5 linked regions of the Macaca fascicularis genome follow. The protein of the gene in region 1 purifies or fractionates together with the protein of each later gene. This does not show direct contact. Links are inferred from orthologs where the notes say so. Each region holds a gene or a part of one and is shown in the gene's direction. Other genes may lie near its edges.

Region 1 (6,032 bases):
GATGTGGACGAGCCCCCCATCTTCCAGCAGCCTTTCTACCACTTCCAGCTGAAAGAAAACCAGAAGAAGCCTCTGATTGGCACAGTGCTGGCCATGGACCCCGACGCGGCTAGGCATAGCATTGGGTAAGGGCATTGGGTAAGCATTGTCGATGAGGATGATGAGGACAATCCGGCCTGGATGTGCCTATGCCTGCTGGTCTGCGGCCAGGACTCACAGAGGGGAACTGGCTTCTCCTGGCACTTACGGGGAAAGTGACAGAGGCAAGATAAGAAGCCCAACCTCTTGCACTTGGCAGCCTGGCATCTTGACCTGCGCAGGCTCCCCCACCTAGCATGGTCCTGGGCATCCAGAGCTACTTGTCCTCTGTCCCGCCTTGAAGGCTTGTTCTCTGCACCACAGCTCTCACCAGTCCTATGTGGTAAGATCTGACAGTCAAGAGAGCAACCAATCAGATGACACACCAGAGACATTAAAACTGTATTCTTGAATCTATCTCCCCCAAACCACAAAAGTAAGAAGTGTTCATTTCATACGGTGAAACAACACAAAGATCTACCAAGAAAACATTGATAACCCCCACTGTCAGATAACTCATGTTCGTGGCCTGACCTGGTCCTATTGCTCCTTTCTTTTCATGACCACACAAATATATGGATGCATTTGTGGTGGGTTTGTTGTTGTCTGTTTGCTTTTGGTGTTTGATTGTTTTAAATTTTTTTTGGATCATGTCATGCTCATTTCATCGATATTTGCTCTTCTATCTTAACTAAATTTCTCTTTTACAATATTTAGAAAAAAAATGATATTGTTCCAACAGATACTTTTTAGAGCCATATAATATGCAATAGTAAGTATAAATTCAATTAAATTTAATTTTATTGCAGATGAATAGCAGATTTTGCCAGCACCATTTACTAAATATTATAATAATAAGTTATCATTTTCCCACCTTTGTTATATACTAAGTTCTCTGTATATACCTGAATCTACTTCTAATTCTCTGTCCTATCTATTGTTCTATAGCAAAGCCATTCTATTTTATTCTACTAGCTTGTATAAGTCCATTCTCCTATAAAGAAATAGTTAAGACTGGGTAATTTATAAAGAAAAGAGGTTTAATTGGTTCACATTTCCACAGGCTATACAGGAAGTATAGTGGCTTCTGCTTCTTGGGAGGCCTCAGGAAACTTACAATCCTGGGAAAGTAGGCATGTCTTACATGGCCAGAACAGGAGTGGGAAGGGAGTTGTTACACACTTTTCAACAACCTGATCTCATGATAACTCACTATCATGAGAACAGAACCTAGGGGATGGTGCTAATCCATTCATGAGAACTCTGCCCCATCTATCCACTTCCTACCAGGGCCCACCTCCAACACTGGGAATTACATTTCGACATGAGATTCGGTGGGGGGGACATAGATCCAAACCATATAGCTTTACACTAGACCTTAGATATACATAAAAGTTGTTCCCTTGTTGCTTTTTTATTTGACATAATTTTTTGTCAACTCTCATTTTTTCTTTTGTGAAATTTAAAATTTTGTAGCCAGGTTTTTTTAAAACATTAGAATTCTAATGTTTGTATATTATAAACATTAGTGTTTATATATTAATTTTGGTATAGCTAATCTTTCAAGGGTATTAAGTCTTCTTATTAAGGACAAAATATGTTCTTACATTTTGGCCTCATCTCCTAAGTTTTAGGACTACTCTTTTCATGGCCATTCTATTCTAAATAGCCTGTAATTATAATTTTTGTTTCTCCTTTGATCCAAGAGTTTATTTAAGAGATTGACTTGGTTTCTTTATTTTCATTTATAAGTCATAGGGTATTTTTTTGGTTTTGCTTTAGCTTGTTCTGTGATGTGATACAATTGTATTTGTGTCCACTTCTTCCTAGAATATCTAAGTTTTGACTTTATGTATTTTAATTTTTCCACTCAGTTAACAAAGGCTGGCAACTATTTTACCTTCATTATGGCTTGTAACTTTTATCCGAATGTAATTGGCCAATTTGTTCTGCTTAAATATTTTGCCTTTAATTCTGTTTCCTGATGTTACATTTGTTAGTCCTGTTTTCATGTTATTCATATTCGCCTAATGCAAATTTTCCAACTTTTACTTTTAACTTTTTCAGGTCATTTGGCATTAAGTTGTCTCTTGAAAACAAGAATGCATTTGGCTTTGCTTTTTAATCTAAACTGAAATGCTTCGTGTTTAACCTATTTACATTTTTCATCATGATTGATATGTTTGATCTTACTGCTTTTATCTTGTTTTACATTTCTCATTTATCAAACTTAATGGCTTTTTTCTTTTTCCCCAGCTTTGCTATACAGTCTATGTTTCTTTATTTTTTTTTTTCTCCTAGGTATTTGGATGAGGTGCTTCCATTTTTATTTCTACCAGTGAGATTTACTTCCATCTGCAAAATTTAAAATGTTTCCTTGGACCTATATTTTCCAGTTAAAACTATTATACATACACACACACCCATTGCTTTTCTATGTATGATAAACAAATCAATAGTTTGTTTTAATTCTTCCCATACCAGGTGTTTACCTTATATTGAGATGTTTAGTTAGATACAGTAAGTTTTCAAAAAAGAATTCAGGACACAAATATCTTAGTTCTTTGCCTTTTTTTGGATGGCGGGGACAGGTTCTTCCTCTGTCACCCAGGCTGGAGTGCAGTGGCACAACCATAGCTCACTACAGCCTTGAACATCTAGGCTCAAGCAACCCTCCCACCTCGGCCTCTGAGTATCTGGGACTACAGGCACACACCACCACACCAGGCTAATGTTTTTGTGTGTTTTTTGTTTGTTTTTTTTTTGTGGGTTTTGTTTTGTTTTGTTTTGTTTTTTTTTTTGGTGAGACAGGGTCTCACTCTATCACCTGGGCTGGTCTTGAACTCCTGGCCTCAAGCAAACCTCCAGCTTCAGCCCCTCCCAAAGCATTCAAATTATAGGTGTGAGCCACCACGCCCAACCTTGCCTTCTAATAACACCTAGATGCATTCATATAATCCTCAGATTATAAACAGTTCCCTTCAAAAATACTGTCAATGTATTCTAGTATTTAATTTTGTGGGGGCATCTGAGGCAAATCTGATTTTTCTTTCTTCATAAGGAAATTATTTCTTTCTGTCTGGACTCTTTTCAATTTCTTCAGACAGCCTTGAAATTCGTACGTGTCATCAGGATATGCCTAAATATTGGGTTTTTTTTTTCAATGATGCCTGATGTCAATGACACCTTATAATCTGTAGGCTCAAAACTTTCTTCAGATCAGGAAAGTTTTCTTTTCTTTTCTTTTCTTTTTTTTTTTTTTTTTTTTTTTTTTTTTTTTTTGTTATTTCTTCTGCTCTGTTTGTTCTGGGAGTTTCCTCATTGGTAGCAACTATTATTCCTATATACACGAAACATAATCTTTCAATAGATTTTTCCTGATTTCTGAAATAACTTTTTAAATTTTTTATTTCACAAAGTTAATTTCTTTGTAATTACTTCATATTTCTTCCAGCTCTTTTTGTATTCCTCCCTGGCTCTTGCCCAATGATCTTTTCATTCATCACTAAAACAAGTCCCAGCTATGGTGTGATGTCACCTGTTCAGCTCTGAACATGCATCTGATGGTCTCAGGTACCACCTTCAGTCCAGTGATGGCAATGTAACTAAGATCAAAGATATTATCTTGTTATCCTGAATCTCTCTGTGTAGGTCCACTCTTGTCTGAGTATCAGAGTGCAATGAGCAGTGACAGAGGGGCATGAAGTGGGATGCAGGGGACAGATGCAGAAGGGCCTTGTCCATCATGCTGAGGAGTGTAGACTCAGCAAAGAACACTAGAAAGCCATGAAACTCTCTCCCCTGGGCAGATACTCCATCCGCAGGACCAGTGACAAGGGCCAGTTCTTCCGAGTCACAAAAAAGGGAGACATTTACAATGAGAAAGAACTGGACAGAGAAGTCTACCCCTGGTATAACCTGACTGTGGAGGCCAAAGAACTGGATTCCACTGGTGAGTGGCCGCATCTGCCAGGGCACCTGGGTTCTTTTCCTTTTCCTTCATTCTTCCAACTGGCATAATCAATCATTTGGGGTCTCAAGGGGTATTAGAAGTGCCTGCTGAAGCACCCGCTGGTTGGGATGCTATAGAGCTTCCATGCCTAAGTGTGGTCCTTGAACCAGCAGTATCAACATCTCCTGAGACCTTGTTGGAAGTGCATCTCAAGCCTCACCCCCACACTGAATCAGAATCTCATGCATGTCACAGTTTGAAAAGCACTGTCATGAAATGGGCTGTGCAGATGTGTCTGTGACGAGAATCACCCAAGGCACCTATTAAGCATAAAGCTCTACTCCACCCTGCAGGTTCTGGTCCAGTGAGCCAGAGATGTGGATTTAACAAGGGTCCCATGATTCTTAGTATCATGGCTGTTTGGGAAATGTTCCCTCAGAGGGTGTTTATGCACCAGTTAATAGGTAGAATTCAAAATGTGAAGCAGCTTCCAACTTTGAGATTGTGAGGTTCTCCAGAAATTGGGTAATTTTTGCCAGAGGGAGGGGCAAGAGTTGGAGTTTTGCATCCTTTATCTATATGAGAAAATCACAATCACCCTCCAGGAGAATTATTAATACTCCACTTTACCCAGGAGCCCACTAGGCCAAGGATCCCTGGAGCCTGCCAGGCCCACCCAGACTCACTTCTGCCAACACAGCTGCTGCCCCAAACTGTAATGGACTCCTGCATGTTTGGCCAGATCAGTCTTTGCTTCTTTCTCCTCCACATAATCCCATTAATAGAATCTTTATACTTCAATAGTTTAAAATGTGGAAAATACAGAAAAAGAGAAGAAAATACTCCTCCCACCAATGCCACCATGCAGAGACAGTTACTGTTAGCACATTCTTGTATTTTTGTTTTTTCTATACATATTTTTATACTTACATGAGATTGTAATGTTTGTGTAAGATAATATATTCCGCATTTTTACTTAACCTTATTCCAGAACCACTTTCTCATGGTGCTAATTTTTTTTTTAAGGGAGAGACAGGGTCTCACTCTGTTACCCAGGATGAAGTGCAGTGGCACAATCACAGCTCACTGCAGTCTCTAATTCCTGAGTTCAAATGATCCTTCCCACTCAGCCTCCTGAGTAGCTGGGACTACAGGCATGCACCACCTCACCCAGGAAATGTCTTAGTTTTTTGTAGAGATGGGGTCTCACCATGTTTCCCAGGCTTGTCTCCAACTCTGGGCCTCAAGCAATCCTCCCTTCTGGGCCTCTCAAAGTGTGAAATTACAGGGATGAGTCACAGCACCTGGCCTTAAAATTTTTTTAATTATATTTTTAAGATGTAATTTACATAGGCATTGTCAGTGGCCATATATTTCATTCTTTTCCAGTGGCCTAATTTACTGACCAATCTTCCTTAGGTTGTTTACCTTTTCAATTCTTTTATGATTAATTTATTAGGTTTTAGATATTTAATCAAATAATTAAATTTTTAATTTTAGAAATTTAATTACAATATTTTTAATGCACTTAGGTGGTTTACCTTTTTGATTCTCATAATCAAAGTAATACCTCAGTAAACCTTATGGATGAAGATTTAACACCTCCCCCTCCACCAAACTCCTTTCTTCCGGAACACCATCCCGGGCCTCTGTTCCACATTCTCCTCCTACAAAAAGTGGCCTCCATAGGGCAGCCCTCCTTCCACACATCTTCCACCCCCAGGGCCAGCATCAGCTGAGCCCATAATGGTGACAGTCTTCTCCCCTGCAGGAACCCCCACAGGAAAAGAATCCATTGTGCAAGTCCACATTGAAGTTTTGGATGAGAATGACAATGCCCCGGAGTTTGCCCAGCCCTACCAGCCCAAAGTGTGTGAGAATGCTGCCCATGGCCAGGTGAGTCTGGTTCAGGTGGGAGGGGAAGGCAGCACCACCCTGGGGCAGGCTGAGGGGCAGAACTGCTCAACAGAGTCAGCAAGAGTTCCCCTGTACAATAGCCTTG
Region 2 (6,801 bases), on another chromosome or scaffold:
AATGCATGGAATATTATTCTTACCTTTCTGCTGGAAGAGGAGCCTTCCGAGGGGATTCGGATGTAGAGTCCAAGGGAGACCACACCCTAGTTTCACAGCTTGTTTTCTACCGTTTCTGCTTCTTTTTAAATAGGGTTAACAGATACAATTTTACATTAATTTAAGAGCCTTAATCACATGGAGCCAGTCATCCATTTCCCTCTCTCTAAGGGAAGCTCATTGTCCTAGGTGCTCAATAAATGTTTAATTAATGGATTTGATAGAGTTAAGTAAAAGTGAACGAACCTTCTTTACAATGCTGGCATATTTCTGTGATTTATATTTCTGTCTGAAGTGTGAAATAATCTGGGCTTTTTTTTTTTCTCTTAAAGGTAATCAAAAGCCTCTGTTTTAGGGAAGGGATGCCTTACATTCAGGTTCGATCTACCACTGCTTTATATGCCAGTGGCCTGATAGCGTGAAAAGAAATACCTTCTCTTTTAAACTAGCTGGAGACACTTTTGATTTCTAAGAACACAGCCTAAAAATTAGAACAACTTGTCTGTCGCCATTTTATAAAATTAATTTATGTCAAACCCAGGGTGACTGGCTCTAGAAGGAAAAGGCATAAAACAGATAACCAACTGTTTTTATGAAATGTATTGTCCAAAGTCAATTTAAAAAAATTATTTTACAAAATTACTTATTTTACCACACTCAGGTATTTTGATAATGTATTTTTCTTTGATTTAATGATAGTGTTTGTCTTCATTACATAGAAGTTATTCATCTCCTATTTTTGATGAGACAACTAGAACAATTTCTGCTTTATGAAACATGCAAATAAAAATTAGGAGCTATGTTAAATTTAACTTGCTTTAATGCTAGTCAACCAGTAATTCTTCAGTACACTTAATATGATGGGAAAAACAGCAAGCTGCGCTGTTGCAAATTTTACATTTTCTTTAATAATATGTATTTGTTTATGGTGCCAATTGGGATTAAAAATCATAATTCTAAATTTAAAGTATTTAAATTATAGAAAAATGATTCCATTATTTTGATAATGGAACAGAGAAATACAAATACAGAAATGTTTTTATCCTTTAGATCTTCTAATGGTGCAGATATTTCTTAACCAATTTCAAGAGTGCCTTATTCAACAACAAAAAAGCTGCACATAGAAAAAGCAAACATGTTTAAAAAAAAAAAGGCCCTGTAAAAGTGGTTAATTTGTCGTCTGATTTTTAATATATGACTTTAATCAACTGCATATTCCTTAATTCTCCAAATGACCATTAAAATTAGGAATCAGTACCTAAAAACGCCATTTATACTTTTGAGTTTGTATTAGAAACATGGCTTTGATGAAATGCCTTTTTCGGTTCCTTTTTTTTTTTGAATTGTGACCACAACCAATAGCTATACTTAATTCTACAGAATTAGTAGGAAAGATACAAATGAGAAGGTCTTTCTAGACAATGGATCTCATTGAACATCATCTTACTGTGTACACTTTTTCCACTGCAGTGGCCCACATGTGCTATGGTGACAGACAGCAGTTGGCATTACCACTTACATAGTAAAATATCTTTAAGACAAAAATAAGTTATTTAAAGAATATGCTGGCCCTGAAACATGAGCTATGCTTAAACTACACATCCCACCTCCATGAGTGAATGAATAAATGGGTTTTCTGCCTGCATCTATGTATTAAGACCTATTGTTTGCTTGTATTAATTGTAGTCCTGGGATAAAAGCATAGAGGTAACTTTCACTGTTGCTTTTTGTACTCTCTCCAATGTTTTGGAGGAAAAATAAGCACAAACAATAGGCTAGAGAAAGTGAATCGATCATAATTGTTGCAGCTTTGACAAGCGTCTATTTTGCTGGATTACAATGGGAAACATTTTTCAGTTTATTGAAATGAATTACAAAATGCTTTTAAATAGAAAATTAGTTTAAAAAATTAGAGGCTGCCTAATCGATAGCTTTCTCTATAAACATACTTGTATTTCTCAAATAAGTAATACCGTAAAAATCTTTTTCTTCAAAGAAAAATCCCCACAAATAAATCTATTGATACCTAGTGACAAGTGGAACCAGATAAAAATGGAATCTATAAGAATTAACCTAATTGACAGCGCTCTGGAGCTAATCCATTTCCATTAGTTATTTGTTCACAGTAGGTACTCATAAGGACTTGTTGAATTGAGGGCTTGGCGCCCATTCTACGAAGAGTTTACAGCCTTCGTGAGTGGGGATAGAAGGCGGCTCGGCCCGCTTATTCAGGTTGAAATTTAAGCTGAACAGCCTGCTGAGAGGTGGGATCCACCATTCGGGCAGTGGGGGGCTTTGGGGGTGCTGTGAGACTGGTCTGCGACCCAGGTCCAGCAGCGAGTGTGCGGCACAGACCGCAAGGTCGGCGAAGCCCCCTAACCCGCGCCCGGTCAGAGAGCCCGCAGGCCGGCGACCGGGCAGCGGCGGCACCCGGCAGCGCCCAAAGCCGGGCGGGCGCTGACCCCGAGCCCCTACCGCCGCCCTGGCCCCGAACTTCCGCCCTCCCAGGACCTGTCCCGTCCACCCCGTGCGGTCCCCGAAGACTAGGGCCGAGGTGCCACCTTCCGCAGGCCGCGGGAAAGGCGCGCAGAGTCCTGCAGCTGCTCTCCCGGTTCGGGAAACGCGGGGGGCGGGGGTGACGGGCTTGGGACAGGGGAGGATACCGGGGCCACGTTCCCCAACCCAGGCCGCGGGGGCCCGGCCTCCCCGACGCAGACCACGGCGCCCTCAAGAGTTGCCCTCAGGTCCCGCGCTGCGGGCAACCGCCAGCCGTCACCGCGGGGAGCGTCCGTAGCGTGCCCCAGCACCCCGCCCCGGCCCGGGGCGCTCAGACGGCGGCTGACTGCTGGGCGGCGCGGGGACTACTTTCCACCGCCCTGTCGCGCCCCGCCCCTTGTCCTCGCGCGGCGGAACGCTCCGCGCTCCGCGCTGCGTCGGCGGCGGCAGGATACGGCAGCTTTTGGGCGACTTATAAGAGCTCCTTGTGCGGCGCCATTTTAAGCCTCTTGGTCTGTGGCAGCCGTGTTGGCCCGGCCCCGAGAGCGGAGAGCGAGGGGAGGCGGAGACGGAGGAAGGTCCGAGGAGCAGCTTCAGTCCTCGCCGAGCCGCCACCGCAGGTCGAGGACGGTCGGACTCCCGCGACGGGAGGAGCCTGTTCCCCTGAGGTGCTTGGGCGCTCCTTTCCTTATCCTTCCGGGGCTGCTCCAGCTTCCTCTCGGAGCCAAACTTCGTCGTAGGCGCGCGGTCCGGGCGGCGGGCTGGGAGCCGGGCTGGGCGCAGCCGGGAGGCCTGGGGTTGGGAGTGGGGGGCTCAGGTAGGGGACGGTGGGGGCGGGCCGCGCCCGGGGCGCGGAGGGTGGCGGCCGGGCCCGGGTTCCGGTCGTGCTGCCTCTCGGGGGCCCCGGGGGCATCGCTTGCGGGGAGGGGGTGCCGCGGGGGCGCGTCCAGGAGCCCGGATGGCCGGCGGGGTGGGGGTGGGGGTCTGTGGTTTCCGTCCGGGGCTCTGGCCTTGGCCGAGTTTCGGGGAGGGACCCTGTGCCTTGGGATGCGCCGGGGCCGGGGTGGGGGGCGGGGTGGGGACGGGGGGCTCCGCCTTCTCAGCTCCTGCGGCGAGTTGGGGTTCGGGCGCTGAGGCAGGGACGCCACCCTAGGTCCCATCAGTCCTGGGGATCGGACCAGTGGACTTTCTCTTAAGATTTCTTCTTTCGTTCTTAAGAATAGAAGTGTTATTATTTTTTTTAATACCCTAGCTATGTGAGTTTGAATCGAAGCAACTTGAAACGTTAGAGTAACTAAACTCTTAGTGCAGCCGGTGCGATGCGTCAGTAGGGTGTGCACATGAAAAATCCATGTCTTGCACCTATATTTTAGTGTACTGTGCAGGTGAGTGAAAACAGTGGATAATGTACTGAGAGTCTTATGGATTTATGGTAGTGGGCATGAGACCCTGGTGAAATAAGAGGGTGGAGGAAGGCGAAGGTGATGGCTTACTGTTTTTTACCAAGTGAACTGCAGGATTCAGCCTCTGACTCAGAACGCTTCGAGAATTTTGTTCGTAGAAATAATTTAAATTTATTCAAAATTTAGTTTGATGGCAGCTAAAATTGGGTTTTAGAGGATGTTGTTTTTTCAGCGGAGTGAATTTTCCCTTCGCTCCAAAACTGGCCAAATGGAATTCAAGCACTGCAACTTCTTTGAGTGTTTTGTCTGGAGAGAGGACTTTGAACCGAGACTTTTCGAAGTTAAGTTCCTATAGCCTGCTTCTGAATCTGCCAAGCTTGAAAGCTTTGGCAGTTGGGTGTAGTTGTTGCCTTACGTTCTCTTCCCTTTTGGAGGGAGCATTGTCTCATACTTTGTATCTTCCAGACATCTGTGGTCTTCCCCCGTCCCCGGCCCCCCACCCCTCGAGTTTGTGAGTGGTGAATGAAGAGAGACTAGGCTGCTGGTATGCAGAGGTCGGCAAAAGGAAATCGAGGAGTGGTTTTAGTGAAATGGGAGCTTTGTATCTTGAATAATGGTGGCTTAGGCTAGACATCAACTTAAAGAGACGGCAGCATTTCCTTTCATAAAGTCTAGGCTAATGTTTTTCAGATCGCTAAGTTGTAGTTTGTCTGGAATTTAGGTAGCCATTTCAGTATTTGTCACATGGTGAACGAACATTCAGTACCTTCAGATGTCTTCGTATTGACTTGTATTCATCCTAAGAAATATTAAATATAGCCTCAAGTGTTATTTATGTTGTACCGCTGGTTTATCTCCTGCTTAAATTATTAACATACATTTCTACTTTGGAGGCTTTTCGTTTGAACTGAGGCTGTGCGACATTTATTTTACTTTTATATTTAGATCTTTGAAAATCTCTAATTAAAAAAAAAGTACCCTTCAGGGTTTGAGGATGTGCTTTCACACCAGACAAAATGTGGCTAATTTGCGCCCAATATTCATTACTTTGACCTAACCTTTGTTCTGAAGGCCATGTACAAGGACAAGGCCCTGAGATTATTGCAACAGTAACTTGAAAAACTTTCAGAAGTCTATTCTGTAGGATTAAAGGAATACTGAGACTATTCAAGTTTGAAGTCCTGGGGGTGGGGAAAAGTAAAAACCTGTGCTAGAAAGCTTAGTATAGCATGTAACTTTAGAGTCCTGTGGAGTCCTGAGTCTCCCACAGACCAGAACAGTCATTTAAAAGTTTTCGGGAAAAACCGACTTAAAAAAAAAAAAAAAAGGTGGCTAATAAAAAAATGAAGCATTTAACAGTGTTCAGGTTTCAGAGTATTGAAGAGGGTTTTTTTTAAACTGTTATCTGATTATTTCCTTTACTAACATGATATAGAAAAGTGTATTTCCAATATTAAAATTTATCAGACTGAGCTTACTGTTCCCGTTGATGACTGGAATAAAAATTGGCATAAGTGAAGGTCTGTATGCTTGTTTTCATAACACCACCACCAAGATAGAAAACGAGGAGACAAGTTTCTTCAAGGGTATTTTGAAATGTGTTAGCAAAACTCTTGCAGATACTCTTTTTTGTTATAGGATGAGGTGGGGAGAGGCGCATGCTAAGTATTGTTGAAACTAGGGATGTAGAGAATTAAAAGTTTGATATAATTATTTTGTAGTTATAAGTAGCAGTGAAATGAAATCTCCTGCAGTAGACTATGTAAGTATATTTAGCCAAATGAAACTTCAGTGTTATTAAAATGAAATAATACATCTGTCCTGTTATAAGATTATTTTTATTTCTCTTGTGGTTTCCTAGTTGCTGATAATCAATAATTGTAGATGAGTAGGTGGTAAGTTTTAAGTTTGTACTTTGAGCTTAGTCGGAAGCATGCTTGACTGCCAACCCAGGACACAAAGGATGAAGGCTTTTAGAACTGGACAAACTTCTAACAAAAGGTATTTGCAACTCTTTTGTAGTGTGTCATGTTGATTTGTGACATTGTTTTTGAAAATACTGTGTTGACTTAGTTTTGTTGTAGCCCTCTTTTTATTGAAACTGTGGTATCTATTGTTGAAACTGCTTGAGAACATTTTTATACCGTAAAAGTGAATAGTAAACATAGCCCAGGAGCTGCTTCTGGTTTGTCCATCGTATGTAGCCATTGCCTCCTTGTACCCTCATTGAGAAGATACTGATTTGCAGATTCAGTTGTCCTTCTTTAACAGACTATGTAATATTGCAGTTGTGATTGTGATAGGTAAGTGGGCCAATCGGTTAAAATAAATACATACTTCTCAGGTTTCACAAAAGGAATATAATATGATTTGTGTTGACTGAAATGAGTAGGAGTTAACTCCTATAGTTTTTCATCACTTAAACTCGGGGAAAGTTCTTTATTTCCTCTGTTTACTTAAGAATGCTGCTTTTGTGTTTCATGCAAGACTGAGCTTGACTCAGTTTGAAACCTAGGCTCATCTGTTGAGGCCTGAACCCTGCTGTCCTTGAGGTATGCATATAATTTGCTTTCTCCCTAAGGAAAAAGAAGCTCTTGAAAGATAAAGTCAATCACATTAGGAACCCGTTTTTAGGGTTTAGCCACTTTTTTTTTTTTTTTTTTTTTTTAACTTAGAGGCATCTCTTCTGTTAAGAGACATTCCCCAGTCTCAAAGTTTCCCTCAACTTTGTGAGTAGTGTTGGAGCATGTTTTCATTGCATGCTTGGGTCATGTTGAGTGCCCTCCAGTGGATATAGTATAATGCTTGTGATTTTTTTTTTTTTTTTAATTCCAAACAAGTTTATGTGGAATATATTTATGAA
Region 3 (6,032 bases), on another chromosome or scaffold:
GCGTTCTCGGCTCACTGCAAGCTCCGCCTCCCGGGTTCACGCCATTCTCCTGCCTCAGCCTCCCAAGTAGCTGGGACTACAGGCGCCCACCGCCACGCCCGGCTAATTTTTTTTTGCATTTTTATTAGAGATGGGGTTTCACCGTGTTAGCCAGGATGGTCTCTATCTCCTGACCTCGTGATCCACCCGCCTCAGCCTCCCAAAGTGCTGGGATTACAGGTGTGAGCCACCGCGCCCGGACTTCTAATTTTATTTTTTAGAGACAGAGTCTTCCTCTTTCACCCAGGCTGGAGTGCAGTGGCGCCATCTTGGCTCACTGCCACCTCCACTTCCTGGGTTCAAGTGTTTCTCGTGTCTCAGTCTCCCTAGTTGCTGGGACTACAGGCAAGCACCATGACGCTCGGCTAACTTTTATATTTTTAGTAGAGATGCGGTTTCACCTTGTTGGCCAGGCTGGTCTCAAACTCCTGACCTCTGGTGATCCACCCGCCTTGGCCTCCAGAAGTGCTGGGATTACAGGCGTGAGCCACCACGCCTGGTCCACAAGTTGTTTTCTATAATTTGAATATATGGGCCAGGCACAGTGGCTCATGCCTGTAATCCCAGCGCTTTTGGAGACCTAGGTAGGTGGCTCACCTGAGGTCTGGAGTTCGAGACCAGCCTGACCAACATGGAGAAATCCCGTCTTTACTAAAAATACAAAATTAGCTGAGCATGGTGACACATGCCTGCAATCCCAGCTACTCAGGAGGCTGAGGCAGGAGAATCATGTAAACCCGGGAGGTGGAGGTTGTGGTGAGCCAAGATCGTGCCATTGCACTCCGGCCTGGGCAACAAGAGCGAAACTCCATCTCAAAAAAAAAAGAAAACAACTTGTGATTGTTATTAGTCTGTGTCCTGAAGACTGAATTTTGCTTCTGCTTCTATGCTCAAGTTTTTGCTGTTTCTGGCTAAGATGTGACCCCTTTTTGGTGTTAGGCAGAGGATTCTGATGTCTGGGGCCATGGAATTCTTGCTCACTTCTTCTTGGGAATTTCTTTAGCTTCTGGTTTGGTATTAAGAACAGAGTCAGTCGGGCATGGTGGTTCACACCTGTAATCCCAGCACTTTTGGAGGCTGAGGCGGGCAGATCACGAGGTCAGGAGATCAAGATCATCCTGGCTAACATAGTGAAACCCTGTCTCTACTAAAAATACAAAAATTAGCCGGGTGTGGTGGCTCGTGCCTGCAGTCCCAGCTACTCAGGAGGCTGAGGCAGGAGAATCACTTGAACCCGGGAGGCAGAGGCTGCAGTGAGCCAAGATGCCGCCACTGCACTCCAGCCTGGGCAACAGAGTGAGACTGTCTCAAAACAAAACAAAACAGAGTTGAAGGTTTTAGGAATACAGGACCAAAAGAGACAGTTAAGGATATATATAAGAACTTTCTTGTGGTGTTTTTAATCCCAAAGTTAAAAACAAACTTTGACCTCACAAGGGCCTTGACATTCTGTGCTTAGGGTCTTATTATTTGATTGTAAAGTGAAATTGTGGTGGCATCCTTGAGTGGGGGTTGGGGGGTACATTAGCAACACTCTGAAAGGTCACTAAGCAGCTGCCTACTCTGACTTTACTACTTGTCCCTGGAGATTTCTTTGGTGATGTGAAAAAAGGGAGTGATTGATGTTTGGACTGGTATATGGTTTGCCTTGTTGCCTTGAGAGAATGCTTTAAGGGGAAAGGACCATGTAGAACTATTTTAGGCTTTGCAGGCCATGTATCATCTTTGTCATATGTTGTTGTTCTTTTTTTCAAACAATCTTTTAAAAATATAAAAAGCATTCTGGGGGTGTACAAAAACAGGTTTGGCCCATGGGCTGCCAATGCTGCTTCAGAATAAATTAGAAACAGTGTTTTCCACACAAAGAGAAATGATAAGAAACAAGGGATGATTTATGGTTGTCTTGATGGTAAGGATATCCTAGCAGCTGTTGCTGAATTTCTCTATATGGGGTCATGACCTTTTAAAGCAAATGCCTTGGTGCTAATTTTCTTCATATATTAGGTAGCTTTGGTTAAGAGTGAACAGGGCTGGGCCCAGGGGTAGAGGCCCCATTATCTAAGACTGAGTCACTCACCTTTCAGGTGTCTTGGATAGCTAATCCAACTCCCATGTGAGTCATTTTTATTCCTCCAGGAGCACCAGACCTCGGCTGGTGCAACCTAGAACAGTGGTAGATAACAGCCATCATTGAAGCAGTCTGTCCAGGGTGTTGGCTCTACTGCAAGTCTGCTTTTTCTGACTTCCTCATTAGTAAAGAGTGATTGGACCCAGATGGGTGTGGGTGGCCAGGTCATTCTCTGCCGTCCCTAGTTGTGCTAGTTCACATAGAGTTTTGGGCCGTTCTTGGGTTTGTTCCAGGGTAGCAATGGACTTGGAAACCTGCTTGACTAGCAAGAATATTTGCTGCTTCCTGTTCCAGGCTAGAAGAGTAATACGAGGTCAAACTTAAACAGTGAGGCAGTGATTAGTGGAAAAAGCACTGAACCCTGAGACCTTGGTTCTAGTTGTGCCTTTGCCACTAGCTAAGTAGCCTCAAGCAAGTCATTTGGTCTTCCTGGGCACAGCTTTGTTACTTGTAAAACAGAGGAAAGAATGCCCAATCCACTGCCTCTATATAGAAAAAGATATAAGATAGAGTTATTTGGAAATTTTGGTTATGGTAATTGTTCTTATAATTTTGTATATTAATAATAGAGGTTAAGCATGTTCAATACGGAGCCTGAAAAACCCAGAAAAGCATACCATCTATTAATAAAGAACCACTGTTAACATTTTGGTGCATATCCTTTGAGGTTTTTTTATTGTACATGTAACTGTATCCTATTTTCCCTCTACAAAAAGGAAATCTTAACATACTGCTCAATAGCCTACTTTTAAAACTTAGCTATCTAAGCTATTCATTTTGTTTCTGTGTTTGTTTGTTTGTTTGTTTTTTGAGATGGAGTCTTGCTCTGTTGCCCAGGCTGGAGTGCAGTGGTGCGATCTCAGCTCACTGCAACCTCCACCTCCTGGGTTCAAGTGATTCTCCTGCCTCAGCCTCCCAAGTAGCTGGGATTACAGGTGCCCACCACCACGCCCAGCTAATTTTTATATTTTTAGTAGAGATACGGTTTTGCCATGTTGGCTATGCTGGTCTTGAACTTCTGACCTCAGGTAATCCGCCCACCTCAGCCTCCCAAAGTGCTGGGATTACAGATGTGAGCCACCACGCCTGGTCCTGTTTCCGTGTTATTTTAAGACCATCTTGGTCATGTTTTACTAAATACTTTGTCCATCTGAATCACTGTTGCATAGTTGATGTTGATACCTGTGAGGCAGCCCTTCTGCTCAGGGCAACTTTGAGTATTTGGTGACAGTGGGAGTGGTTTTGTAGAACAAACAACGGCTTATTTGGAGAGCTCCACACAATAGATTCTCCTCTCCTGTGGGAGCCAGAAGAGATGAGCTCACAGATAATGGGTTTCTTTCTTCCTGGTAGTTATGAATAAATAATAGTGTGACAGACTCACCCTCTAGTGGTTGTTGGTAGTACTGAAACAGGAAGAATTGTCTCCTGGTTTGATTTTTCTTACTTTCAATTGCTTTCTCTGTTCCTAGTGGCTGGGCTTCCCAAATGTGATGTTGGTGAATAGGCTCAATTTTGAAAGAACTGGAGGTACTGTCTTTAGAAATTGGAGGATGGAATCTTACCGCTAACACATTTGTTGAGTAGCAGACATGACCTTGGGATGACTGTGAAAATTACTTTTCAAGTTTATACCTCATCAGTACCAAACCCAGATCCTCCTATAATGTAGCAGGAAGCCCTTTATTAGTTTTTCTCTATCAATCCATCTTTTATAATTTCCAAAATAGGATAAGGAGAAGCTTAAATATGAAATGCATTTAAAGGTCTTAACCCGCCAGTTGTTTCCTGTGTGTAAATGCCTAATTTCCTGTTTGGTTAAGGAACTGTTCTCAGACTTCTGTGGCATTGAGTCAGTTGCTTTGGTTAATTCTGCTTTTTGAGAGTTTATCCTGATCTCTACCTAGAAAAGTTAATAGCTGTCAGGTATCATTCAAGTAAATGATAAATAATAAGGATTTGGTTCTTTCTTTTTGATTAGCCTCTCCTGAATGCTTGTTACTTTCTAACCCTGCAGACTTCAAAGAAAAAAGTGTAGTTTTAATTAAATTGTAGGTGCCTTTAAGATTATTACCTTTTATTTTTCCTAACCCATTGAGGAAAATTGATCAGTATATTATTCATGCAAAGGAGAGAGAAGATGAGCACACTGAAACTCCAGTTAATCCTGCTTTGCAGATGAGGGTAATGGGAATGTCCAGGAAGCTAGCCATAATGACTTGATGTATTCTCTTGGTTATTCCAAAACTTCTCAGGAGCTACGAAGACATGATTGGTGAGGAGGTGCCATCGGATCAATACTATTGGGCTCCTTTGGCCCAGCATGAGCGAGGAAGTTTAGCAAGCTTGGATAGCCTGCGCAAAGGAGGGCCCCCACCTCCTAATTGGAGACAGCCAGAGCTGCCAGAGGTGATCGCCATGCTTGGATTCCGCTTGGATGCTGTCAAGTCCAATGCAGCTGCATACCTGCAACACTTATGCTACCGCAATGACAAGGTGAAGACTGACGTGCGGAAGCTCAAGGGCATCCCAGTACTGGTGGGATTGTTAGACCATCCCAAAAAGGAAGTGCACCTTGGAGCCTGTGGAGCTCTCAAGAATATCTCTTTTGGACGTGACCAGGATAACAAGATTGCCATAAAAAACTGTGATGGTGTGCCTGCCCTTGTGCGATTGCTCCGAAAGGCTCGTGATATGGACCTTACTGAAGTCATTACCGGTGAGTTCTAGGCCTAAGGAAAATTGCTAAGTCACTGTTACTCTCTAGTGATGTTAAGAACTAGAGGGATTTCCAGACCTTTTACTTTTGATGAAAGGTTGTGAACTGGTGGCCTTGGGTCAAATCCATCTCACAGATTTGTTTGGATCACACAGCATTTTTGAAATTTTAAAGAACTGGTTGCTGATGTTTAAAATTCAGAAGATTTCACTTAAAATTCCAGATTCTTGGCTTCTATTAAAAATGTGGAAAAGTTGTTAACAATGGATCTCTTTTCTTTTCTAGCAGTATTTGGTCTGAACTGATTGGAGCATGTGTTCTCTAATTTACACTAATCTCCAACACATTCTATTATCTGACCAACTACAGCCGTTTAGGATGTTGTTTCCCAAACATGGAGCTGTCAACTGCTATTTTTTCACATGCTTGTAATTTCTTTTAAATATCTTCCTCTCTTGACTCACCTGCTTGGCCCATATAGACATTTAAGCTTGTGGTCCTTGCTTTATTTAGAGCAGTAGTTTTTCAGATTGTGGGTTGTGATCTATTTGTGTGATCCATTAGTGAATAAAACACAATTTTGTGGAGCATAATCAGCATTCCAAGGGAAAGGAATAAAGAAAAAGTAATATAGACCATTGCTTCTCAGTTGTGGGCCATTTTGCCTGTCCTGCCCTGAGGACATTTGGACATTTGTAGTGTTGGAGATGTTTTTGGTTGTTATAACTTAGAACAGGGGAGAGGGAGTGCTACTGGCATCTAGTGAGTAAAGGCTAGGTATACTGCTAAACATCCAGCAATAGACAAGACAGCTCCTCATAGCAAAGAATTATCTGGCTCAAAATGTCAGTAGTGCTGAGGTTGAAAAACTCTGGTATAGATAGATCGGAGAGCATTGCTTATCGTTAAATATTGCTTTACAAAACCTTATTTCATGATCTGTATGTTTATTTTGAGCTGTAATATAGAACATGTTTCTTGCTGAGGTTCACAAACAAAACTTGAATATTACTACAAGGTATTTGGTCACTGGGGAAGACTGAGAAATGATATAATAGGGGATTCTCTTTGATGTTCTTCAGACATGTTGTCTTGAATGCTCAAGAGCCATCTGATGAGTTGTCTCTTCCAGGAACCCTGTGGAAT
Region 4 (6,599 bases), on another chromosome or scaffold:
GGGCTCCTCCACCCCTCTCTGCAGTCAACCAGCCCTACCCTGCCTGTTTGCTGAGGTCAGGAGAAATAGGAAGGAGTTAGGCCTGGTGTGGGGCTAAGTATGTGCGTGTGTGCATGTGTGGAGGTGGAAGGTGGGCAGGAGGGGGAAGAAATGAAACCCTGGCAGCTGCAGCAGTCCAGGATTGTGAGCCCATTCCCCCCCCCCAGCTGTGGCCTGGCTACAGCTCTGTGTGCCAGGGTGACAAGCAAGTGGATGGGGCAGGGATAAGGCAGGGAATAAGACAGGGAGGTAAGCTGGAGGATCGGGAGTTGGGGAAACAGGCAAAGGGCAGTGGCCCTGGTTATGGGATGGCCAATAGTTCAGGGGTGTCCGTATCTCCCTGGCCCTGCTTTTGGATGGTGCAACTTCAGAAGGGAGAATGTTCAGCTACCATTCCTTTCTCCGGTGGGGAAAGTGGTCAAGGACGCTGCTAAGGTACCTTCATCCAGCCCCTCCTGTGTGCTAGCTTTGGAGCTGTAGTGCTTTGTTGCCAGGGGACCTTTTTCTAAACCACCACTCCCCCAACACCCACCCACACAGGCTGCTTCTGCTTATCCTTCTATGATCTCTTTGAAGGTTGGGATCATTTTTATATTCTGTGTCACCAGATTTTATTTTCTGTGTTCACCAGTGCCTAACATAGAGTTGACACTGAATACTCAAGTGCTGAATGAAGGAATGTTTGTAGGGTCCTTGGCACACCATACAACCACGACCAGCATTCATGTCATCAACCACAGAAAGGAAGTGCCCTTGTCTTCTTAAGCTGCCTGTGAAAAGTTCTTTTTATGTTTTTGAGACAGAGTCTCACTCCGTCGCCCAGGCTGGAGTGCAATGGCATGATCTCAGCTCACTCCGCCTCCCAGGTTCAAGTGATTCTTCTGCCTCAGCCTCCTGAGTAGCTGGGATTACAGGTGCCCGCTGCCATGCCGGCTATTTTTTGTAGTTTTAGTAGAGACGGGGTTTCACCATGTTGGCCAGTCCGGTCTCAAACTCCCAACCTCAGGTGATCCGCCTGCCTCAGCCTCTCAAAGTGTTGGGATTACAGGCGCCCACCACCATGCCTGGCTAATTTTTGTATTTTTAGTAGAGACGAGGTTTCACCATGTTGGCCAGACTGGTCTTGAACTCCTGACCTCAAGTGATCTGCCCACCTTGGCCTCCCAAAGTGCTGGGATTACAGGCATAAGCCACCACACCTGGCCGAGAAGTTCTTTCTGATCTCTACCCCAGGCTCTCCTATCGTGGAGGGATGTGCTACCCAGTTTCTTTTTTTCTTTTTCTTTTTGTTTGAGATGGAGTCTCACTCTGTCACGCTGAGGCCGGAGTGCAGTGACATGATCTCAGCTCACTGCAACCTCCGCCTCCCGGGTTCAAGCAATTCTCCTGCCTCAGTCTCCCAAGCAGCTGGGATTATAGTTGCCCGCCACCACGCCCAGCTAATTTTTTGTATTTTTAGTAGATATGGAGTTTCACCATATTGGCCAGGCTGGTGTTGATCTCCCGACCTCAGGTTATCCACCCACCTTGGCCTGCCCCGTTTCTTTCATGCCTGGGTTTCTTTCAGATCTGCTGCTTGATGTTTCCAAGCCCATCAAAGCCTCCTGACACCAATACTGTATTTTTGTGCCAATTAATTGTTCTGTCTCTCCTCCCAGTGTTTGTGCCTTTTCTCTGCCCCTTCCCCCATTGCCTTGACATTTTATGTCTATGCATTTTATGTTCCATGAAGGGAACAGCTGGTTCGATGGTCCTTCAAATGAGAAGGAGGTTCTAGCTTGGGGTGTGCCACTTTGTAGTTTTGTGACTTATCTGAACCTCGGTTTCTTCATCTTTACAATGAGGGTCGTTTTCTCATCTTAACTATTTTTTCAGAGCTGTCACAATAATTAAAACAAAAATATCATTAATTTAAATTCTAACCTTTAGCAGTTTCCGAGTGCTTTCACAAACCTGACTTCATTTAATCCCCACATACTCCAGAGAGGTAGATACGGCTAATGTATCCAGTTTACAGATGAGGAGAAACAGGGTGAAGTAACTTGTCTAAGATCATACTAAGTGGGAGAACACAAACCCTGGTCTTCTAATTCTAAATCCCAGGAGTACTCCATCTTTGGGGGGAAAAAATCCCAACCCAGCACAAAGCCTATGAAATGCTATACAAATATGTGATTACTACTTTGGGGCAAGGATGAATAAGCCCAAAGAAGCATCATGCTTGACGCTGAGTTGGCTGGCCGGTGAAGGCGTCTGTCCCTTCCCTTAGTATCCCCTGACTTACCTGTTGGACAGGTAGGGGGAAGGGGAGAGTAATGAGTCTCACCTGCTCAGAGCAAGGGTGGGGCAAGACACACCCCATCCCTTCCATTGGTTTTTTCCTTAGTCTTACTGACAGCCCCTTGTCCAATCAGGAGGAAGTAACTTTCTATCTGCCAATAGGTGCAGTGTTAGGATGAGACCTCAAGTTAGAGTCCATCCCTAGAGCCGACTGGCAGTCCCTGGGGCCAATGGCAAGCGGATAAACAGAGGCGGCCGTGGAAGAGGACTGGAGGTGAGGCTCCGCCCCTCGACGGGACAGTCAGGCGAGACAGCCAGTGAGCTCGCACCAGAGGGTGGGCGTCTCCCCCAGGGGCGGAGCTTCGAGGTGGCGAGGGGCGTGGCTTGGCTGTCAGGTCTCTTTGCCTTTTGTTCGGTTACTGAGTTGCTGCCTTGGCCAGAGTCCGGAGCAGCCGCCGCCCGACCACGCCGAGCTCAGTTAGCTGCCTGCGCCGGCTCCCACCCCGGCCCGACCCCGACCCGGCCCGGCCAGGCCCCATACTAAGGTGCGGGCGATCGGGAGCAGGTATCGCTGGGGAGAGAAGGGGTGGCGAGCGCCCGCGAGGCCGGTCCCTGCCGTCTCTGGGCAGGTGAGGGCGGGTGCCATGGAGCGCCACCCTGCACCGGCGGCAGGGGGCGCGCTGGGGTCCTGGGCGCGGCGACCTGGGGGTCGCGCGGTTTGGGCAGAGCGCGCCTGGGAGCTCCGCGAGCCAGAGATCTGAGCAGGGCGGGAGGGATCCGGACAGGTGCCTCCGGAGTCGTGCCTCCCCCGGGGCCCGCGCCCCTCGCCCGACGCCGCGTCCCTGACTCTCGCCCTGAGCTGGTGGGGGAGACTTTGCCCTGCTTTGACTGCGTCCCAGGGCTCACGCTGCAGTCAGGAATTTACCGTTTGGGAAACTTGCTGCCGCTGGTCTCTGGGGCCACTCTCACCCCACCCCACGCGTCATCCTCGCTTTCCCTCCCTCCCTACTCCCCCAGGCCTGGGTGGGGCCCTATTGTCTGCGCCCAGCTTGCCCAACTGTGGGGGCCGAGCACACATTTTCCTAGCGACGCTGGCCCCACCTGCCGAGCAGGTGAGCGCACGGAGTCCAGAGGCCCTGCCCTCCAACTCCCAGAGCCTCGTCCATACTACCTGCGGCGCCTCCCTCCACTCCGGTGGGAGCCGGGCTCTGGCTTCTTCAGCGGAGGTGGGATGGAGTGACAGTGGTGGGTGCAGGGCTCGACCCAGTGTCCAGCTGGTGTGTCTGGCATCCGTGGCTCGCCCTGGAGTCTGGGGGGTGGGGTCTGTGCACGGATGAAGAATTCAGGGTCACCTGGCCCAGTTTCCAGTAGCTGTGGCTGCTAGAGTGTTGGTAGGGGAACAGGACCCGTCTTCTTCTCTAACCTCTTATTGTTGGAAAAATCACCCAAAACAAACTTTGCAGGAGGAAGTATTCACAGCAGCTTGATCTGGGGGTTTTCCTGTCTCCTTGCCCAAAACTTCCTTTAGGCTTAGGGGGTCCTTCTTGGTGCAAAGCCCCTTCCCCTAGCCGGCCCCTGGCTGAACCTGGGCGGGTGCCTGCGCTCCGACCCTGTCTTCCCTGCCCCCACCTTCATCCTCTTCGCTGGGCCCCAGGGGCCTGAGGTGGGGGCCGGGGTGGGGGGTGGAAAGTGCTGAGAGGGGAAGCAGCTTCTTCCTTCTCTTCCTGCCTCCGGGGACCACCACACCCCCTCAGACGAGGCCTGCGTAAGCGGCTCTCTCTCTCAAGCTCTGCCCCCTCCCCAGGAATGGGGGTGGGGCAGGGCTGGGCCAAACTGAGGAAGGTGGGGGGAGTGGTTGTTCTTGTCTTTTTTTTTTCTCTACCCCATCCCCCACATTACTTAGCTGGCTGGTAATTGAGGCAAAAGAGCATGAGGCTGTGGGACTTGCCTTCCATTTGATTTCTGAATTATGAAGGTGCATGCTTTCTGGAGGCCTGCACAGACCTTTCCCACCCCCTTTCCTGAAAGAATTTGACAGGGAAAGTGAGACCGGAGGAAGGCTTTTTGGGGGAAGGTTTCTTCAGTGCTAGACTCCCTCAGGCAGAGCTGCATCGGGCCCCTGCCTTCCCTGCTCCCAATTTCCTGAGACCCCCCCACCCTCCGGAATTGGGAATCTTGACCAGGCTTTCTACCCCGGTTTAAAAAACAATCTGAAGTGTGGTCTTTTTGCAGGATTTGGAGCCCAGCCTCCTTGGGGAACAGAGAGAGAATACCACAGTTGGGTTCTCTCTCAGTCCTAGGGGTGGGAGAAAGATTGCGGGGAGCGGGGATGGAGAGTGCTTGGAGGGGGAGAGTCTACCACCTCTTTCTTTGTTGTAGATGGGGGAGTGAGGCTGGGGGCCCAGACTCAGCCCCTTTATCCTGGGTGGGGATCACGCTCAGCCCGGGGCTAGGGGGAAGTCAGTGTGGGAACTCAGATCCTTTTCTGCTGGAGGAGGGGGGCGGTGCACCTCTGGGGCGCAACAGGAGCACGGAGTTTGGGCAAAAATAACCTGCTTTCCCTCTTCTCCCTGCCAAGGTGGAGGAGGGGAGGGCATTGTAATTATGTTGGCTAAATGATTAGTTTAGCTAATCTGGTTTGTGGCTGTGATGAAAAGATAATACTGAGGAAGTACTACTAGGAGGTGCCTGGTGAAAACTGGCCACTGACTGGACTGGGGGACGCGGAGGAGGAGAAGGTAGGACCCAATTAGTCATTTCTTGCTAGATCAAGCCCCAGCTTGGGTGACTTGAGCCCTCCCACCCCCACTCCACCCCTCCCTTGCACCCTGGCTCCACTCCATTCCCTCTGGAACCTCTGGGCTGCCAGGGCTGAGGCTTTGAGAATGCAGTGTATAGGAACGAAAAAGGTCGGGCTAGGGCTGCCAACCTTCTTCCCTTCCTGGAGCCACCTTAGAATGAGATCGGTCAATTGACTAGTCTACAGAAGGACTGTTTGTTTGGAGAGATGGGACAGTGGGGCAGTTCTGAGCACAGGGCTTTGGGCTTGAACTGAGCTGGGTTTGAGAACCAGCTCTGTCTCTCATTACATTGCCTGAGTCTCAGTGACTTCTTTGGCAAAATGGGAATACAACACCTATCTACCCGGTAAGTACTTGACAAATGGTAACTCAAGATCAAGGTCAGACTTTACAGAAACCAAGCACTTTCTTTTTTTTTTGTTTTTTTTTTGAGGTGGAGTCTCGCTCTGTCACCTAGGCTCACTGCAGCCTCCGCCTCCTAGGTTCAAGCGATTCTCCTGCCTCAGCCTCCTGAGTAGCTGGGATTACAGGTGCATGCCACCACGCCCGGCTAATTTTTGTATTTTTAGTAGAGATGGGGTTTCACCATGTTGCGCAGGCTGGTCTTGATCTACTGACCTTGTGATTCGCCTGCCTCGGCCTCCCAAAGTGCTGGGATTACAGGCGTAAGCCACCTCACCTGGCCCAAACCAAGCACTTTCATTAACTATTCTTACTTAATCCTTATGGCTGAACAGGCTGGATGGCTCAAACCTGTAATCCCAGCACATTAGGAGGCCCACAAGGGCGGATTGCTTGATTGAGCCCAGGAATTCCAGACCAGTCTGGGCAACATGGTGAAACCCTGTCTCTACAAAAAATAGAAAAATTAGCCGGGCATGGTGGTGCATGCCTATGGTCCCAGCTACTGGAAGGGTTGAGGTGGGAGGATTACCTGAGCCCAGGGAGGTCAAGGCTGCAGTGAGCTGTGTCACTGTATTCCAGCCTGGGCAACAGAGTGAGTCCCTGACTCAAAAAAAAAAAAAAAAAAAAAAAAAAAGCGGGTATCATTTTCCCCATTCTACAGATGAGGAAATTGAAACTCAAGGAACTTAAGTAATTTCCCCAAGGTTGTACAGCGAGACCCAAGCAGCACCAAGACTGGCGTTTTGGTCCTCTGATTCCAAGCCCAGAACCCATCCTGCTGTATTGCCCCATACAGCTCTGGAAACGATTTTTTTTTTTGAGATGGAGTCTCGCTCTGCCACCCAGGCTGGAGTGCAGTGGCATGATCTCTGCTCACTGCAACCTCCACCTCCTGGGTTCAAGCGATCCTTCTCTTTCAGCCTCCCGAGTAGCTGGGATTACAGGTATGTACCACCACACCGGGCTAATTTTTGTATTTTTAGTGGAGATGGGGTTTCACCATGTTGGCCAGGATGGTCTCGAACTCCTGACCTCAGGAGATCCGCCCGCCTCAGCCTCCCAAAGCGCTGGGAT
Region 5 (5,812 bases), on another chromosome or scaffold:
GAGATGATGTTAGGAGGTGGTCCTTTGAAAAGCCCCTTAACTGATTGCATGCCAGTCCCGAAGGCATGTGTGACTGCAGTGTTAAAACCGTCAGTGCTGGCATTGTGTTTTGTGTCACCAAGTCCGTCGGCCTCCAGGACCTCACGCGGACATGCTGTCTGGTGCCACCTGAGTGAGCATCCACTCCTTACCTCATCAAGGGACAGGCCCAGCCTTTGCGCAGCACGCTCTTGGTGGCTCCGGAATGTTTCTTGCATATCTTCTTGTTTGAACCTCACAGCAAGTCCTTGGGCTGCGCTTGGACTAGATCCTGGTACAGATGAGGGACTCGCCTCACTGCCCTCCTGTCACAGGCCAGCCGGCTGGGCCGAGCGCCAACCCCAGCTGTTCTGCCTGCTGCCCCCTTACTGATAACTGCCAGAGGACAACATTATGTTTCAAGTCAGTAGCTAATCATGAGAGGCTGGTAGTTGGTACAAAATAAGAATTTTATTTCATAATTAAAGCAAAGAGCTAGGACGAGTAATCAGTCCCTTGGGTATTTACTCAGCCCTTACCTGTCATATTCTCCCTTCTTTTCTTTTGATGAAAGTCAAAAGAATACTTTAAAATTGCCTATTTTTACTCCTCCAAGCAGCCTTGGTACCCTAACAGAAGGCTCAGTTATTTAATTTTCTTTTTGTCATAAAGTAGGAAAGTTAAACAAATCTGCTTAATACTATACAAAACACCTCTATTTTTAAGTCAGTACCTTTTCTATCCAGGACAGTTCTCATCTTTGTCTTTAAAATACAGGTGTTGGGGAAGTAAATTAGGAAGTAAAAACCTTATGTCGCCGGGCACGGTGGTTCACGCCTGTAATCCCACCCAGCATTTTGGGAGCCCAAGGCAGGGGTGGATCACCTGAGGTCAGAAGTTCAAGAGCAGCCTGGCCAGCATGGTGGAATCCCGTCTCTACTAAAAATACAAAAATTAGCCGGACGTGGTGGCGTGTTGCCTCTAATCCCAGCCACTCGGAGGCTGAGGCAGGTGAATCACTTGAACCCGGGAGATGGAGGTTGCATTGATTCCAAGATCACGCCACTGCACTCCAGCCTGGGTGACAGAGCGAGACTCTGTCTCAAAGGAAAAAAAACAACCTTATGTCTTATAAAGAAATAGTGAATTGACTCAGTGATAGCCATTGAGCCCCACACACAGTGAAGCCAGCGCAGGCCTGCTGTGGGCCAGGCAGCCCAGCGCGTGCAGCAGTGAAGCAGAGGCTCGAGACAAATGCTGAGTGATTGTGACTTTATTCATCATACTGTTCAGAACACTGCACATTAAAATCCAGAATTCTGGGCCTCCGTGCACCTGGCCAAGAGGCTCAGGGTGGCTGGGGGCTGGTGGCCTGTGACCCAGAGATGTGTCTGACTTGTGATCTCTGTCTTGGTGGCAGACCCCTGAGGAGTTGGATGACTCTGACTTTGAGACAGAAGATTTCGATGTCAGAAGTAGGACAAGCGTCCAGACAGAAGACGATCAGCTGATAGCTGGCCAGAGTGCCCGGGTAAGGAAGCGCTCTGTGGGGCAGTTCAGCTTGTGCTGCCACCTTCCCTGTCCCCTTTCTTGTTTCCAGGAAAACACCCTCAGTATTCAGAACACCATTTCTCTCTCTCTGGCAGTAGACTGAAGTTAAACTAAGTTGTGGCACCTGCTAGTCACTTGTAGCCTCCTCAGCTAGAGACAGACCAGGTCCTGGGCCTCCTCTGCAGTGCCCTGGGGCTTTGGTTTACGATAGAGCCCTGGGTCAGGAAAGGGCTGAAATTTAGTCAATGCAGTGTTTGTTGAAAGGATCGTGAAATTTGAAAAAGATTGCTGCCTTTAGCCATCTCAGTGATGCCATGGGTATGAACTATTTAATTATTCATGGGTTTAAAAAAATAACAGTGGTACATTCAAGAAAGCCAGTCAGAGCCATTGCATTCATTTGAGTCATTAAATCTTCAATCAATAGCATTTATGTTTTGGGGAGGATGCCAAGAAATATTTCTAAGGAGTCTTTGATTTCACTCCTTGGAAATCTGTCATGAACAGCGAGCACATCGCTGCCTTATGTCCTGCTCCGTCATGAGCACTTTGGGAAGCTGAGAGGGAGGAGCTTCAGCCGCAGGTCTGTGGGCTGGAGGTGGGCAGCAGGCCTCCAGGTGCTGCTCGAGTATGGCCTTAGTGCTCAGCCCTCTTTCTTCAGGTGTACATTCTGAAGCCACTTTCAGTTCACCTTGAATAGCTGGAAATGTCCACCAGGGAAAGGGTTCCACACTTTCATCAACCCTTTCTCTCATTTCTTGTCTTATATTAAAGAATTAAAAAGCAGGTTCTGTCCCTGCACAGTTGTGATTCCAAAGCTTCCGCATTAGCCTTCCACCCCTCGCTGTTTGCTTCCACACTAAAACTTGTGCTCGAAAGTGGGTCGGAAATTCAGGCTGCTGTAAGTGTCTGCAAAAAATGAGAGAAATAGCCCTTTAGGCAAAATGAAATCTGTTAAAGCATTATCCTACCTATGCCATAGATTGCCTGTTGGAAATATTCTTGGCTAATGCACTCTGAGAACTTCATATTCTTTTTATGTAAGAGCTCTTTGTGCTTCTGATCACAGGCGATCATGGCTCAGCTTCCCCAGGAGCAAAAAGCGAAGATTGCGGAACAGGTGGCCAGCTTCCAGGAAGAAAAGAGCAAGCTGGATGCTGAAGTGTCCAAATGGGATGACAGTGGCAATGACATCATTGTGCTGGCCAAGCAGATGTGCATGATTATGATGGAGATGACTGACTTCACCCGGTGAGCAGCACCCTGGCCCCACCAGGCTGCACAGGGGCCACTTTCTTTAGGTCACCTGCACAGCGGCTTAGACAGCCCAGGCCATGGGGCTTTGTGGACATCTGTTTTCTACTCATCTCCAACTGTGAGGGGCTTCGCATACAATGATCCTTGTTCTCTCTTCTCAGAGGTAAAGGACCACTCAAAAATACGTCAGATGTCATCAGTGCTGCCAAGAAAATTGCTGAGGCAGGATCCAGGATGGACAGGCTTGGCCGCACCATCGCAAATCACGTAAGTGACAGACCTGCCAGGTGGGTCTCCAAGCTCCTTCTGGGACTCAGGCAGCCCAGCCTGGTCCATTCAGGGTAAGTTTCATGGGCCACAGCACTTTTGCCACCCATCTCTAAAAATGGTTCTTATTAATCCCAGCATAGATTCGTAAGGATTCTCTAGAGCAGATGTGGATGTCCTGGAATCTTCCGTCACTTGTAGCCAAATTAACCTCTGCTGTTGTCTATTATGTCTCAGTTCCCTCTCTGGGCAGGGGCTGAGGGCAGCCAGAAGCCATGTGGCCAGTGCTGTGGAAGGATGGTGTGCCCAGATGGGGCCAGGTTTCTTCATCCTCAGCACTGTGGCTCTTAGTCACCCTGCCGTCATCCCCCTATTCCCTCACACTGTGATAGGTACAAAAATATGGTTCATATCACCTGGAAATGTACAATATGTTTGATTTGGTGTTTTAAGCCTGATCAAGAGAGGCTCTTTCTCAGTTATAGTTTTTCTCTGTAGTTAACAAACCTCCCCACCATCTTCCCTGAAATATCAAAACTCTCAGCCTCATCTAGGCCACAGGATGTGTGAGACGTCCCTCTTTACTCAAGCCAAAGATTGTAAAGGCATCCTTGACTCCCACACAATCGGTAATAGGGCCTATTGCTTCCATTAGCCAAATGTATCTCAACACAAACCAGTCTTGTCCTGTCTGCAGAGCTCCATAGCCACTTGGACTACTGCGGCTACTCCTGATTTCCTATTCTTTCCTCTCTCCACTTCCTTCTGCATCCAGCTGCCAATACTGTCATCTGAAAATGCAAATCACATGGCTGCCCTGCTTCCATGACTACTTAGAATACAGCTCATCTCCAGTATGGTCTGCAGGGTTTCAGTTCATACCACTCTCTGTGGTGTACTTTGCTTGCTATGAACACTTAAGAGGTGCTCTGTTTCTTCCTTTGGGTAAAGCTTTCTAGGCTGGTCCTAATCTGGGAGCCTCTAAAACCCTGAGATATGGGGGGAGACAGGAACTGGGCAGGGGCCACCCTTTTCTCTTTGACCATCCCTGACTGCTTTTTTTCTTGCTTTCTTTACTCATTTATCCTCCACCTCAGCCTGCAGTGAGTGGCTTTTGTCATCAGGCCTTAATAACGCAAAGTGCATCGGAGCAGAAGAGCTATTTGTTTACTTAGCTCAAAACATCTGGACTTTTCTCCATAGCCAGGCTCCTACTTGCTGAGCCGGCTTGTTCTCACCTTGAGGGGCACAGGCCTCCACCCTGCCATGTGGGGTGAGGGGATCCTTGGCCAGAGTGGTTTCCCTGCTGTCACAGAAGGGAAGTCAGCGGGAGGCTCAGAAGGCCTTGGCTGTACAACCAGTGCCGTGCGGCACAGCCAGGGTCCCATGAACGACTTCCATCAGATCACCTGCCTCCATCCCCAAGCAGAGTGTAGGCAAGGGCTGTGACTGCCTCAGGTAATTGGGTGATTTTGCTCCAGCAAGAGGACAGGAAGCATGTGAGTGCCACCCTGAACCTTTAAGAAACACCCATGGGGTGGGAGGTGCTTGGTCCAGGCCAGGGTGCTCGGTGCTAAGCGTGCTCTCCCTTCAGTGCCCGGACTCGGCTTGCAAGCAGGACCTGCTGGCCTACCTGCAACGCATCGCCCTCTACTGCCACCAGCTCAACATCTGCAGCAAGGTCAAGGCCGAGGTGCAGAATCTCGGCGGGGAGCTCGTTGTCTCTGGGGTAAGCATTAGCTGAGAAAAAAGAGGGCCAGTGGGAACGTGCTGACCCTTGTCAGAAATGAAAGTCACTTCCTATCCACATACACACCTGCCCTGGGAAAGTGTGCTGAGCAGAAACCCCAAGTCCTGTCCCAGCCTCCGGAGACCAAGGTCTGTCCATCATCTGTTCCCTGTAGAACTGTGACACGTGTGGGCCACTGCAAGGGCTGAAAGGCTGGCCTCCTCCCCTTTGCTGGCCACTCACTGGGAACAAATTTTTAAAAATCTTCCTTGGGACCGGGCGTGGTGGCAGGTGCTTGTAAGTCCCAGCTACTTGGGAGGCTGAGACACAAGAATTGCTTAAGCCTGGGAGACAGAGGTTGCAGTGAGCCGAGATGGCACCACTGCACTCCAGTCTGGGTGACAGGGCAAGACTCTGTCTCAAAATAAAACAAAACTTCCTTTTCTTCCCCCAGAGAGGAATTAAGAGTAGACATAGATAGGATGCTTTCTCGAAAGCCCTTCACCCCTCAGAGCGCTTGGGTAGCATCTCTTTTATCAGGTCACAGTTCTGAGGCCTTTCTCACCTAGGGCAGGGGAAAGAGGTTTGCTGAGTGGACTGGGGTCCAGCGAGCCTCCGTGGCTTCTTTTAATCCCATTAAATTTCCTTTAAAAGAAACACTTCTTATATTGAACATATTGAGACCATTTGCTCATCTGCTTTGCCATAAACGTCCCTGTCTCGATTCCTGCTTCTCCTCCCCCACGTACTTATAGCTCTGGGATCACTCACAGTGGCTTCCGCTTTGAGTGAATAAACACTTGCTGGGGGGTGGGGGCGAGCAAAGCAAGGCTGCCTCATGTCTTCTTCAAAGGGTCTGAGGGCAGGCGCTTCCAGGCTATTTAGGTAAGAGCAACTGTTGAGGGTGTTCCTCAGCAACAGGCTGCTGCCCAATCCTCTGCCACCTGCCCAGGCCCTGGTCTTGCAGAGGAGTAGGGGGCCCCCCTTCAG

Evidence for each region.
Region 2: the proteins of CDH5 (region 1) and CTNNB1 purify together in Homo sapiens (affinity purification with western blotting; 11 studies listed by BioGRID and IntAct, counting the BioPlex papers as one, with this or other methods). This does not show direct contact. The link is inferred for Macaca fascicularis from reciprocal best matches to the Homo sapiens genes CDH5 and CTNNB1.
Region 3: the proteins of CDH5 (region 1) and CTNND1 purify together in Homo sapiens (affinity purification with western blotting; 3 studies listed by BioGRID and IntAct, counting the BioPlex papers as one, with this or other methods). This does not show direct contact. The link is inferred for Macaca fascicularis from reciprocal best matches to the Homo sapiens genes CDH5 and CTNND1.
Region 4: the proteins of CDH5 (region 1) and JUP purify together in Homo sapiens (affinity purification with western blotting; 3 studies listed by BioGRID and IntAct, with this or other methods). This does not show direct contact. The link is inferred for Macaca fascicularis from reciprocal best matches to the Homo sapiens genes CDH5 and JUP.
Region 5: the proteins of CDH5 (region 1) and CTNNA1 purify together in Homo sapiens (affinity purification with western blotting; 4 studies listed by BioGRID and IntAct, counting the BioPlex papers as one, with this or other methods). This does not show direct contact. The link is inferred for Macaca fascicularis from reciprocal best matches to the Homo sapiens genes CDH5 and CTNNA1.

Annotation. Positions count from the first base shown.
Region 1 is NC_088394.1:62,398,634-62,404,665, forward strand, and holds part of CDH5 (cadherin-5), read left to right. Parts: coding exon 1-125; intron 126-3,887; coding exon 3,888-4,030; intron 4,031-5,801; coding exon 5,802-5,926; intron 5,927-6,032. UniProt on the Homo sapiens protein: Cadherins are calcium-dependent cell adhesion proteins. They preferentially interact with themselves in a homophilic manner in connecting cells; cadherins may thus contribute to the sorting of heterogeneous cell types.
Region 2 is NC_088376.1:104,042,777-104,049,577, forward strand, and holds the start of CTNNB1 (catenin beta-1), read left to right. Parts: upstream 1-3,037; 5' UTR 3,038-3,203; intron 3,204-3,653; exon of another isoform or gene 3,654-3,920; intron 3,921-5,799; exon of another isoform or gene 5,800-5,939; intron 5,940-6,801. UniProt on the Homo sapiens protein: Key downstream component of the canonical Wnt signaling pathway.
Region 3 is NC_088388.1:15,799,595-15,805,626, reverse strand, and holds part of CTNND1 (catenin delta-1), read left to right. Parts: intron 1-4,422; coding exon 4,423-4,886; intron 4,887-6,018; coding exon 6,019-6,032. UniProt on the Homo sapiens protein: Key regulator of cell-cell adhesion that associates with and regulates the cell adhesion properties of both C-, E- and N-cadherins, being critical for their surface stability.
Region 4 is NC_088390.1:62,819,491-62,826,089, reverse strand, and holds the start of JUP (junction plakoglobin), read left to right. Parts: upstream 1-2,740; 5' UTR 2,741-2,948; intron 2,949-5,023; exon of another isoform or gene 5,024-5,057; intron 5,058-6,599. UniProt on the Homo sapiens protein: Common junctional plaque protein. The membrane-associated plaques are architectural elements in an important strategic position to influence the arrangement and function of both the cytoskeleton and the cells within the tissue.
Region 5 is NC_088380.1:145,428,046-145,433,857, forward strand, and holds part of CTNNA1 (catenin alpha-1), read left to right. Parts: intron 1-1,273; exon of another isoform or gene 1,274-1,438; coding exon 1,439-1,549; exon of another isoform or gene 1,550-2,478; intron 2,479-2,638; coding exon 2,639-2,820; intron 2,821-2,987; coding exon 2,988-3,093; intron 3,094-4,687; coding exon 4,688-4,822; intron 4,823-5,812. UniProt on the Homo sapiens protein: Associates with the cytoplasmic domain of a variety of cadherins. The association of catenins to cadherins produces a complex which is linked to the actin filament network, and which seems to be of primary importance for cadherins cell-adhesion properties.